Drosophila melanogaster: one gene and its partner. The protein of the gene in region 2 purifies or fractionates together with the protein of the main gene of each other region. This does not show direct contact. Each region holds a gene or a part of one and is shown on either strand. Other genes may lie near its edges. The genes, in order: CG17768 and CG3224.

Region 1 (4,669 bases), on a different chromosome or scaffold from region 2:
ATCTACAGGATTTGGGTCCAATCCCTGTTGGCAGCAGGCTCCAAATGTCTGTAAAATTCGTTCAATGCATGTGGTCTTAATGCAAATCACCGAACTTTTCTGATTTAAATGTTCCAGCTTTTGACTATTAACTCGTATACGCAATATCTTGTAGTCGATAATTTCAAATAGCACCCAAATGATGCTAAAAGCACCAAGGGTTAATAGACAGAACAACCAAACTCTGTCGCTGAATGGCGACAGAAAGTTACCACTTTTTCCATGAGTATCCAAATCGGAAGTGTAGCGGTATAGAAAAGCTGTCTCAAATTTCCAACTTTGGTGTATGGTATCAAACTCAGCAAAGCGATTAATTCGATTGAAGGCACCGGATGCGGCTATATCTGCCTCATTTCGCATAACTATTCCCAAGAGTCCAAGTCGAAAGGTAGTATTGCCCAAACGTCCAGCCCATCCTCTAGAATTTCGGAAGTTAACAGTGAAATTGAAACGTTCTCTCAGAAGTCCCAGAAGCTCGTAGTGATACTTTATGAATGCAGCCACTCCAGCATCCTTAGTTGGTCGCGAAAGTATTGATTCAATTTGTTCATTTGAGATTATATCCTCCTTGTCGATCTAGTATCCATAATTGAAATGGCTAAAATCTAATGAGTTATAGTACTTATTCATTACTTACAACACTTGCTCCTCTTAGAGTTAATCCATTAAATTGTCCGCGAAAATCAATACTTTGCAAATGGAAAATATCGCGAGCTATATTCAATGTATCGTTTATCAATGTTGCTATTAAATTTATTTCCAAATTCGACTTCAAGTGTCGTCCTTTCGAATGAATATCCCAGTACGCATAACCATCTGCGGTTTCATTAACATAGGTTATCTGGGCGTTGGGACCAACATAGTTGAGATTTAAAGGAAATAGGGATTGAACCTCGAGATCAACACCCCAGAGAAACCACTGATAGGTTTTGTTGAAATACCTATTTTCAGAGGCTTCAAAAAGAAGTTCAGATGATCCACTGCATCTGGCATTTACCATCACAGAAGTTCGAGCGTAATTTTCCCGAGTCAATATCGATGTTAGTGAATAACTTTGGTTAAGGTTAACTACGCTCACAAATTGATTAATTCGCATCAATGCAAGAGAGATTTCTTTAAAATCTATCAATAAATATATTATGAATACCTTTATTGTAACTTAGCACATTGCTTACCTTTAAATAAACACGAAAACACTATTGCTTGCTTGGTTTTTACTAGACTTTTAACGAAATTAGTTACAACGGATTCTTCCATACTCGGAATTATTTCACCCTCGCCTGCAGCTAGTATTAAAATAAACATACTGATTAAGAGATTCATTTTACTATTGTTTATCCTGCTGGGAATGTTGTGCCATTTTATAGTAAGGTCTTCTGTTTGATTGACAGCATGAATTGCAGGTGCTAATTACCCATTCTAATTTCAATTGGTTCATAATTTACTATGCAGCTTCTATACCCTCTAATCAGAAATAATTTAATTGATTTAAAGTGTAGCTTTGATTGACAGGTAAAATTGGATCATAAATTTTTAATGAGAAAGTAAACTTCTCCCAACACTTATGGCAAAACTAAACCAGTTAGTAGTAATTTAAACAAAATTCAAGTGGGTAATAACATATGTAAATATTTCTTTAATAAACAACCGAATTATTGAAAATCTTTACCAAAACGGGTAACCTAATTGCAGTAAATTTTAAAACGCCAAAATAACATGTTTAGTTTCTTATTTTATTAAGGCTAATATCAAAAATCATAGCTAGAGTTTTTTTCTTTTTAATTTAATTTATGCAAATAATCCATTTCTGTTAATTAAAAACAAAAAAACAGTACGATTAATATCGATTGTGAGCATCGAATATCAAAATAACTCATATCGAAGACGTAGCATTTCTAGTTTGTTTATGTTTTTGTACAAAATTTATGAGTATGCAATATGTCGTCTACGTTTAGATATAATCTATTAAGGAGTGTAAAGCCATACACTTCATTCACTCCGCAATTGACTAAGTCTATGTTGCGTGTCCTTATTCAAGTGTCTGTGCACTACATTGAATCAAAGAAGTCTTCGTCGGAAGTGCTTTCCCTGGCACTAAATAAACTAACAAATGGAGGTCACGAAATCCCTCCGAACTTTTGTGAACTTTTTACAATGGTTTTCTTGACAATGCAAATCTTTTTAAGATATCCCAAGGGCGTGGTGAAGCATCATGAGCTGCGAAAATGTTTAATGGACGATTTAAAGTAAGTATTCAAATGCATACGTACTTGGAAAACTTGACCGTCACTAACATAATTGTTATTTATCTCGTCAATAGTTTAACAGAAGAATATGTTGAAGATATCTGCAAAGTTTTGCTTAACCATCGAGACGTACTGAGCAAGAACTTTTCAGATACTAAAATGGACCGTGTCAAAATGTCAAAGTTGCAATGGAGAATCAACATTTCCTTATCATTAAAGTAAGTATTTAACCTTACCGCTATTTTATTTTTACTTCACTTTACTAATTTATTTTCTAGTACCGTGCAAATTGATAAACCTACAATAGTCCTCCACTTCAAGCTCCAAAATAAGGAATATCGAACTTTAGAATTGCCACTGTCCATGTTTCAACAAGTGCGCTATAATATTGCTCTCTTACTAAATGAATTGCAGTCATTGCAAAGCCGGTTGGCTTTAAAATAAGTTACATGTTTTTTTTATCCATTTGGTGAAGTATTTAATCCGACTGTCCCGCCGACTGTCCTTTTTGCCATACTCAATCTAGCGCCTTAAAGCCGCCAAGGCGGTCACGCCCACACTTTCAAAACAATTTTAAAATCTTTTCTCCCTATTATTATCCCAGAAAAAGGATGAAATTTACACTAGCTGAGTAACGGGTATCTGACAGTCGGGGAAGTCTACTATAGCATTCTCTCTTGGTTACCATTTAAAATTATGTTATAAGAAATCAAAAAAAAACAGAACACGCTATCTTTATAAGCATGTGTTTCATATTCATTTCGTTCCAACAAAGTGATTGACATCTCTTCCGATTTCATGTTATCGCTGTATTAATCGATTACTTCACGAAAATGGTAAGCAATATTATTTTATGGTAAATAAAGAGAAAAATGATTAATTTTCATGTGTTTTAGCTGCCACTTTCACTTTTAAAAACAGCACAGAGCCATCCCATGGTAAGATGTTTGGATTTGCACACATTAGTCATACACATAATTGTTTAATCTAATTCACTTAGTTGGTGGAGCTGAAAAATGGTGAAACATACAATGGTCACCTGGTTAGTTGCGACTCGTGGATGAATATTAATCTGCGCGATGTTATTTGCACCTCAAAGGTAATATTTTAATTAAATATGTATGTATATGTAATTAATATGTAGATTGCCGGTGTGCAAAATATGCGACAACTGGTATATACATAAATACAATCGCATTGATTTGTAAACAGCCGGAAAAATGATAACATGAAGAGCTTGTTTATACCAATATGTGTATGTGTACTTTGCAGGATGGCGATCGGTTTTGGCGCATGCCCGAATGTTATATCCGCGGGAGCACCATCAAATATCTGCGAATCCCCGACGAAGTAATCGACATGGTCAAGGAGGACGCGCAGGCCAAGTCAAGGAATCGCACAGAGATGAACAAAAACCGCGGCGGCAACTCGTCGCAAAATCAGCGCGGCGGACGTCCTGGTGGCGGCAACCGCAACAATGTCGGCAATCGTCCCGGCCAGGGATACGGAGGTGCTGCTAACAACGCGATGCGCCTGGGTGGCGCTGCTGGCCAAGGGAACCGTCTGCCCCACGCCGCCAAAAATAGGAAATAGTTCTTCGGATCGTAGTAATAAATTCTTTTCAACCATTTCAAGTCACGTATTTATTATTAAAAAGTTGACATTTTTACACAGTCTCGATAATTTCACATCACGAGGTTTTCTTTGCTACTTATTGCCATGGTAATCTGTCTTTTATCCAGCGAGCAATTGGAATGAGTTGGTTTCAAGTTTGAAAAATCACTGGGGGCTTCACTATTGCCAAGCAGACTACACCCTGAACGGGGTTTATTGGATACTATAATTGGATTCATGCGGACACGTCCGGCGCGGGGAGACGGCATCCAAGTGTTTCGCTTGCTGCACAAATGCTTTTAGTAGGCTGAATTTCACTGGACCGTCTGTTTGTTTGTATCATGTAGTTTCATTATATTCGAATTTTATTTTGCCTATATTTACTTTAAGAAATATTTAATAAAGAGTACAGGTAAACAAATGTATTATTTATATGTATTGTAGCTAAACGAATTGACGGCTTTTTAAAAACTCAAGCATGCCCTGAACATTGGCATTGACCTGTGGCGGCTGCGTTTGTTGTCCGTTCAGCAAACTATTGGGCATCCCCATAGGAAGCATTTGCTGTGCCTGGTTGTTGAAACCTGCAAGTACACAATCCGATGCATTTTAATCGACTGTTGATATGTAAACTCTTGGTTGCCCCACTTACCACCACTCTGGGAATTTTGCTGTTGAGCCAAATGCTGCAAAAATAAATCCTGTTGCTGCTGAGGATGTGGGGGAATTTGGTTTTGTGGAAAAGAAGAATACTGTCTAAACGAAAGTAT
Region 2 (3,429 bases):
CACAAATACTCTCACATTTTGATGAGCCATTTCACAACAAAACACTCGCGATGGCAAAATGCACAAGATCACCGCTCTAAAACGTAGCATACTCTTAAGTGCACATGAGAATGCCAGTTGAACACGCACCAACACACCCACACACGCGCCAACGGAGAATGAGCCCAAAGGAGAATGAGGAAATTGCAGAAATTTACCAATTTCACCCGTTTAAACTAGAAATACCGTATCAAACGCATTGCGTCGACCTGCGCTCACTGGTTAATTACACTTTGTAGCACTTTTCGACAGCAAACGACGCTGATATTTATTTAATTTTAATTTTAAAGCGCGTCAGCCATCGCATTTTGTGTTTACCGCTGCTCACGGACGAAGAAAGTGACCGCTTGCGGAGAGAACTTGAACTTTTGAGCTGCAGGAGAGAAATCAAAAGAACGGTAAATAAAGCTTTGCCGCTTGGAAGCGTTGAACTGCTTGTTGTTTAGAAGCTTGTTGATCTTTCGCCACCCTTGCGCGCATTAAATGAAAATTAATTTTGAATCGATTTATATATGTTGGAAAAAAAATGTATTTAAAGAAAGCAATTGGAGGTAAACAGAGTTCTGTGGGAGGGGGGTGAAGAAAGTCCTGTCCCCGAGGGCCTTAAAAACTAAGCTAGATCAATAGATTGGTTCATCCTCCTCGCCTATGTCTCCATTTTCTCGACTTTCTTGCGCTTCGTTTTGGACGTCGATGGCGAATCGGTGGCATCTGTATCCTCGGGCACCACTTCCACTCGGATCCTCTTGCCAGCGACCACGTCCTCCTTCGATGGCTGCGTTTCCATCGCCCGCTTCTTGGGCTTCACGAAGCTGCCACGTCCCGCGGCGCGTTCCGCCTCCTCGATGCTGTACGGCTCGATCTCTAGGGCCTTGAGACGCCTCTTGTGCACCTTGGTGCGGAAATGTGCCTGCATGGCGGTGTCATCGATGAAGTACTTGGCACAGTGCACGCAGTAGAACTGCGCGAATCCCGGCTTGTCGAGATCCACATTCTGATTGATCAGTTCACCGCTCCGGGTCTGCAGATCGTCGTCGATCTGGTCGAGATCACGACGTCGATTCCGCACACGCCATCTCCTCTGCAGATGGGTATCGCCATAGTGCATCTTCTTGCGTTTCGATACCATTCCCATCTTGCTGACTTTTTTTTATATTTACAACTTTTACGGAAAATTTAATCGTTTGTTTTGGCACGTGTTTTGGTTGCCAATGGGGTTTTAGATTCTGCTGCTGCTGCTAGGTGTTTCCTAAAACCTGTAATGCATTTGAATGTTAATTTATATACTGTTACAGTAATTTGTTGCTTAACTTTACCTTTTTTTGGTTAAGAAACGAGGGTTTTAAAGGTAACAAGTTAATTTAATGCGCACATAGAATGTTGGCGACGGTCCCCGGCCGATTGGTTTCTTATCGATAACTGAAGAAATCGTGGTGTGTGCACACTGATACACAGCTGTTTTTATTTATTCGAAATAAAACTAAATTCAACCAAAACTAATTAAACTAAAATTCCATAAATTAGCTACTTGTTGCGACAATAAGTTGTATAAGTTACTCATTTTTAAGCTGCACTCCATCTACTTCGTCTTTTACAATACTATTTTTTGGCATTATTTAGTGCCTTTTCGTAGGCAGCGCACTGTTAAATAAAAAAACATATGCTTGCAATTAATTCATCAACAATCGTGCGAACAAGTTGTCTGCGGGCGGACCGTGCGCATTTTGTTTTAATATTATTTATTTCCTTGCCGCAGGAAGTAAAGTAAGCCCCTAACATTTGAATACATAAACATAGAGTTCGGTTTAACTTGCGTTGATAAAGTGCAATTGATAATACAAATAGTGGGTGTGTGGGCTGGACGCACACACACATGTGTGATTGGATAACAACACTGTGAAATAGATCGGGTTTTACACTTGCAAAAACGATTAAAGCAATTATTATTTTTCATAAGATGCTGCAGCCGGTCCACTCTTGCTATCTCGCTTGCTTCAAAAGCTCAGCGTTTGCAGTGAGTGTGTGTGCGTGTGTGATTTAGCGCAAAAAGCAACAACGAAGCACAAAATAAAATCAGAAACTGTGATTGTTGTTAAATGACTGGTGCAGGGGGTTGGGTGGGTGTCAACGGCAGCTGCATGCATTGTTTAAAATGTACGACTGTTGGCTTATTGGCATTTTTCGTTGACTCTCTGTTTTTAGCTAGACATTCCGTTGAGTTCGTCACTTAAACCGGTGTTACAGCATACATACATACATACATTGTAGATTGTTACAACTCGAGCCAATTGCCCGCCAATTGCAGTAAGTACAACAACAACAAAAAGAACGCGAAATGCGTGAAATAGTATAAACGAAACTAAAAACAAAGCTTAGGAGTCCTTATCGATAATCAGCGATTGCATACCGATTGTGATTATCAGTGCCAATCGCTTATCAGTCAATTATACCGTTACAAGCACAATTAACCCTCTATCTGTGTTCGTGCGTTGAGTGATATATGTATGTTCGAATTCAGATCAACAAACTCTCTCCTACTCTCTTTTCTTTACACATGTGATATAATAGCTCCCCCGGCCTGCAATAGAAAAAAAACACACGCACTCTCGCCGTTTCTCTCCCATTTGTTGCTGCAATACATGTCGGTCACGATTTGACATTTCGCAATTGGTGCGATTGTGAGTGTGTGTGTGTGTGCAGGAGCAGAGGATGGGGCTCTCTTGGCGGAGATCAGCTGATGAGATGAAGCAACGGTTAATGCCATTTGTCCATGCAAATAAACAGAAAGAAAAAAGTTTACGTTGCTAGATCGTTTAAATTTCACTTGATATTTGGAACTAAATTAAATTTTAATTCAATTCTTATTTTAATTCTTTAATATAATATGAATAATGAATCACACTTCATCACGTCGTGAAATTCCATTTTCAAACTTATATCAAAATATCTTAGCTATTTCGCTGAGTCTTAGCATTTAGCATAATAGAAATATTACTGGTAAACGCAGATTATTCATTATTACTTGCCCAAAATAGAACTAGAAAATATACAAATCTTAAACAATATTTAGTGATAATGGTTTATTTCATGATAAGAGTAACAAATGCTTTTCTCTCTGTGTAAAGGCAAAGCTACTAATGCAGGCGAATAAAAGCGAGAGTGATAGAGGTGAATAGGTCCAACCGGTTTGGTCCCAGTGCGTTAGTTTTCTGCTGTTTAATTATCAGAGGCGCTGAAAAGGGGGTTCCCATTGCCTCCCAAAGAAAAGCGCCCAAACGATTTCCTATCAGGGATTCCATAGAAACCAAACAAACCACAGAATGTTATTTATAAACCACGCAAATTTACCCTGAACTTTAACTTTTCTGTATTTTTGCACCAGAATAATAG

The links.
Region 1: the proteins of CG3224 (region 2) and CG17768 purify together in Drosophila melanogaster (affinity purification with mass spectrometry, with the first as the bait; one large-scale study listed by BioGRID). This does not show direct contact.

What each region holds. Positions count from the first base shown.
Region 1 is NT_033779.5:10,402,445-10,407,113, reverse strand, and holds CG17768 (uncharacterized protein), read left to right. Parts: upstream 1-1,910; 5' UTR 1,911-1,977; coding exon of another isoform or gene 1,978-2,285; intron 2,286-2,359; coding exon of another isoform or gene 2,360-2,503; intron 2,504-2,563; coding exon of another isoform or gene 2,564-2,729; 5' UTR 2,730-3,118; coding exon 3,119-3,121; intron 3,122-3,181; coding exon 3,182-3,223; intron 3,224-3,285; coding exon 3,286-3,384; intron 3,385-3,557; coding exon 3,558-3,878; 3' UTR 3,879-3,917; downstream 3,918-4,669. Other genes in the region: Ir31a (ionotropic receptor 31a), read right to left, coding at 1-615, 677-1,161, 1,215-1,362; LSm-4 (uncharacterized protein), read left to right, coding at 1,978-2,285, 2,360-2,503, 2,564-2,729; Cnot4 (CCR4-NOT transcription complex subunit 4), read right to left, coding at 4,344-4,483, 4,552-4,669.
Region 2 is NC_004354.4:6,659,999-6,663,427, forward strand, and holds CG3224 (uncharacterized protein), read right to left. Parts: upstream 1,465-3,429; 5' UTR 1,356-1,464; intron 1,296-1,355; 5' UTR 1,175-1,295; coding exon 686-1,174; 3' UTR 554-685; downstream 1-553. UniProt on the Drosophila melanogaster protein: Involved in pre-60S ribosomal particles maturation by promoting the nuclear export of the 60S ribosome.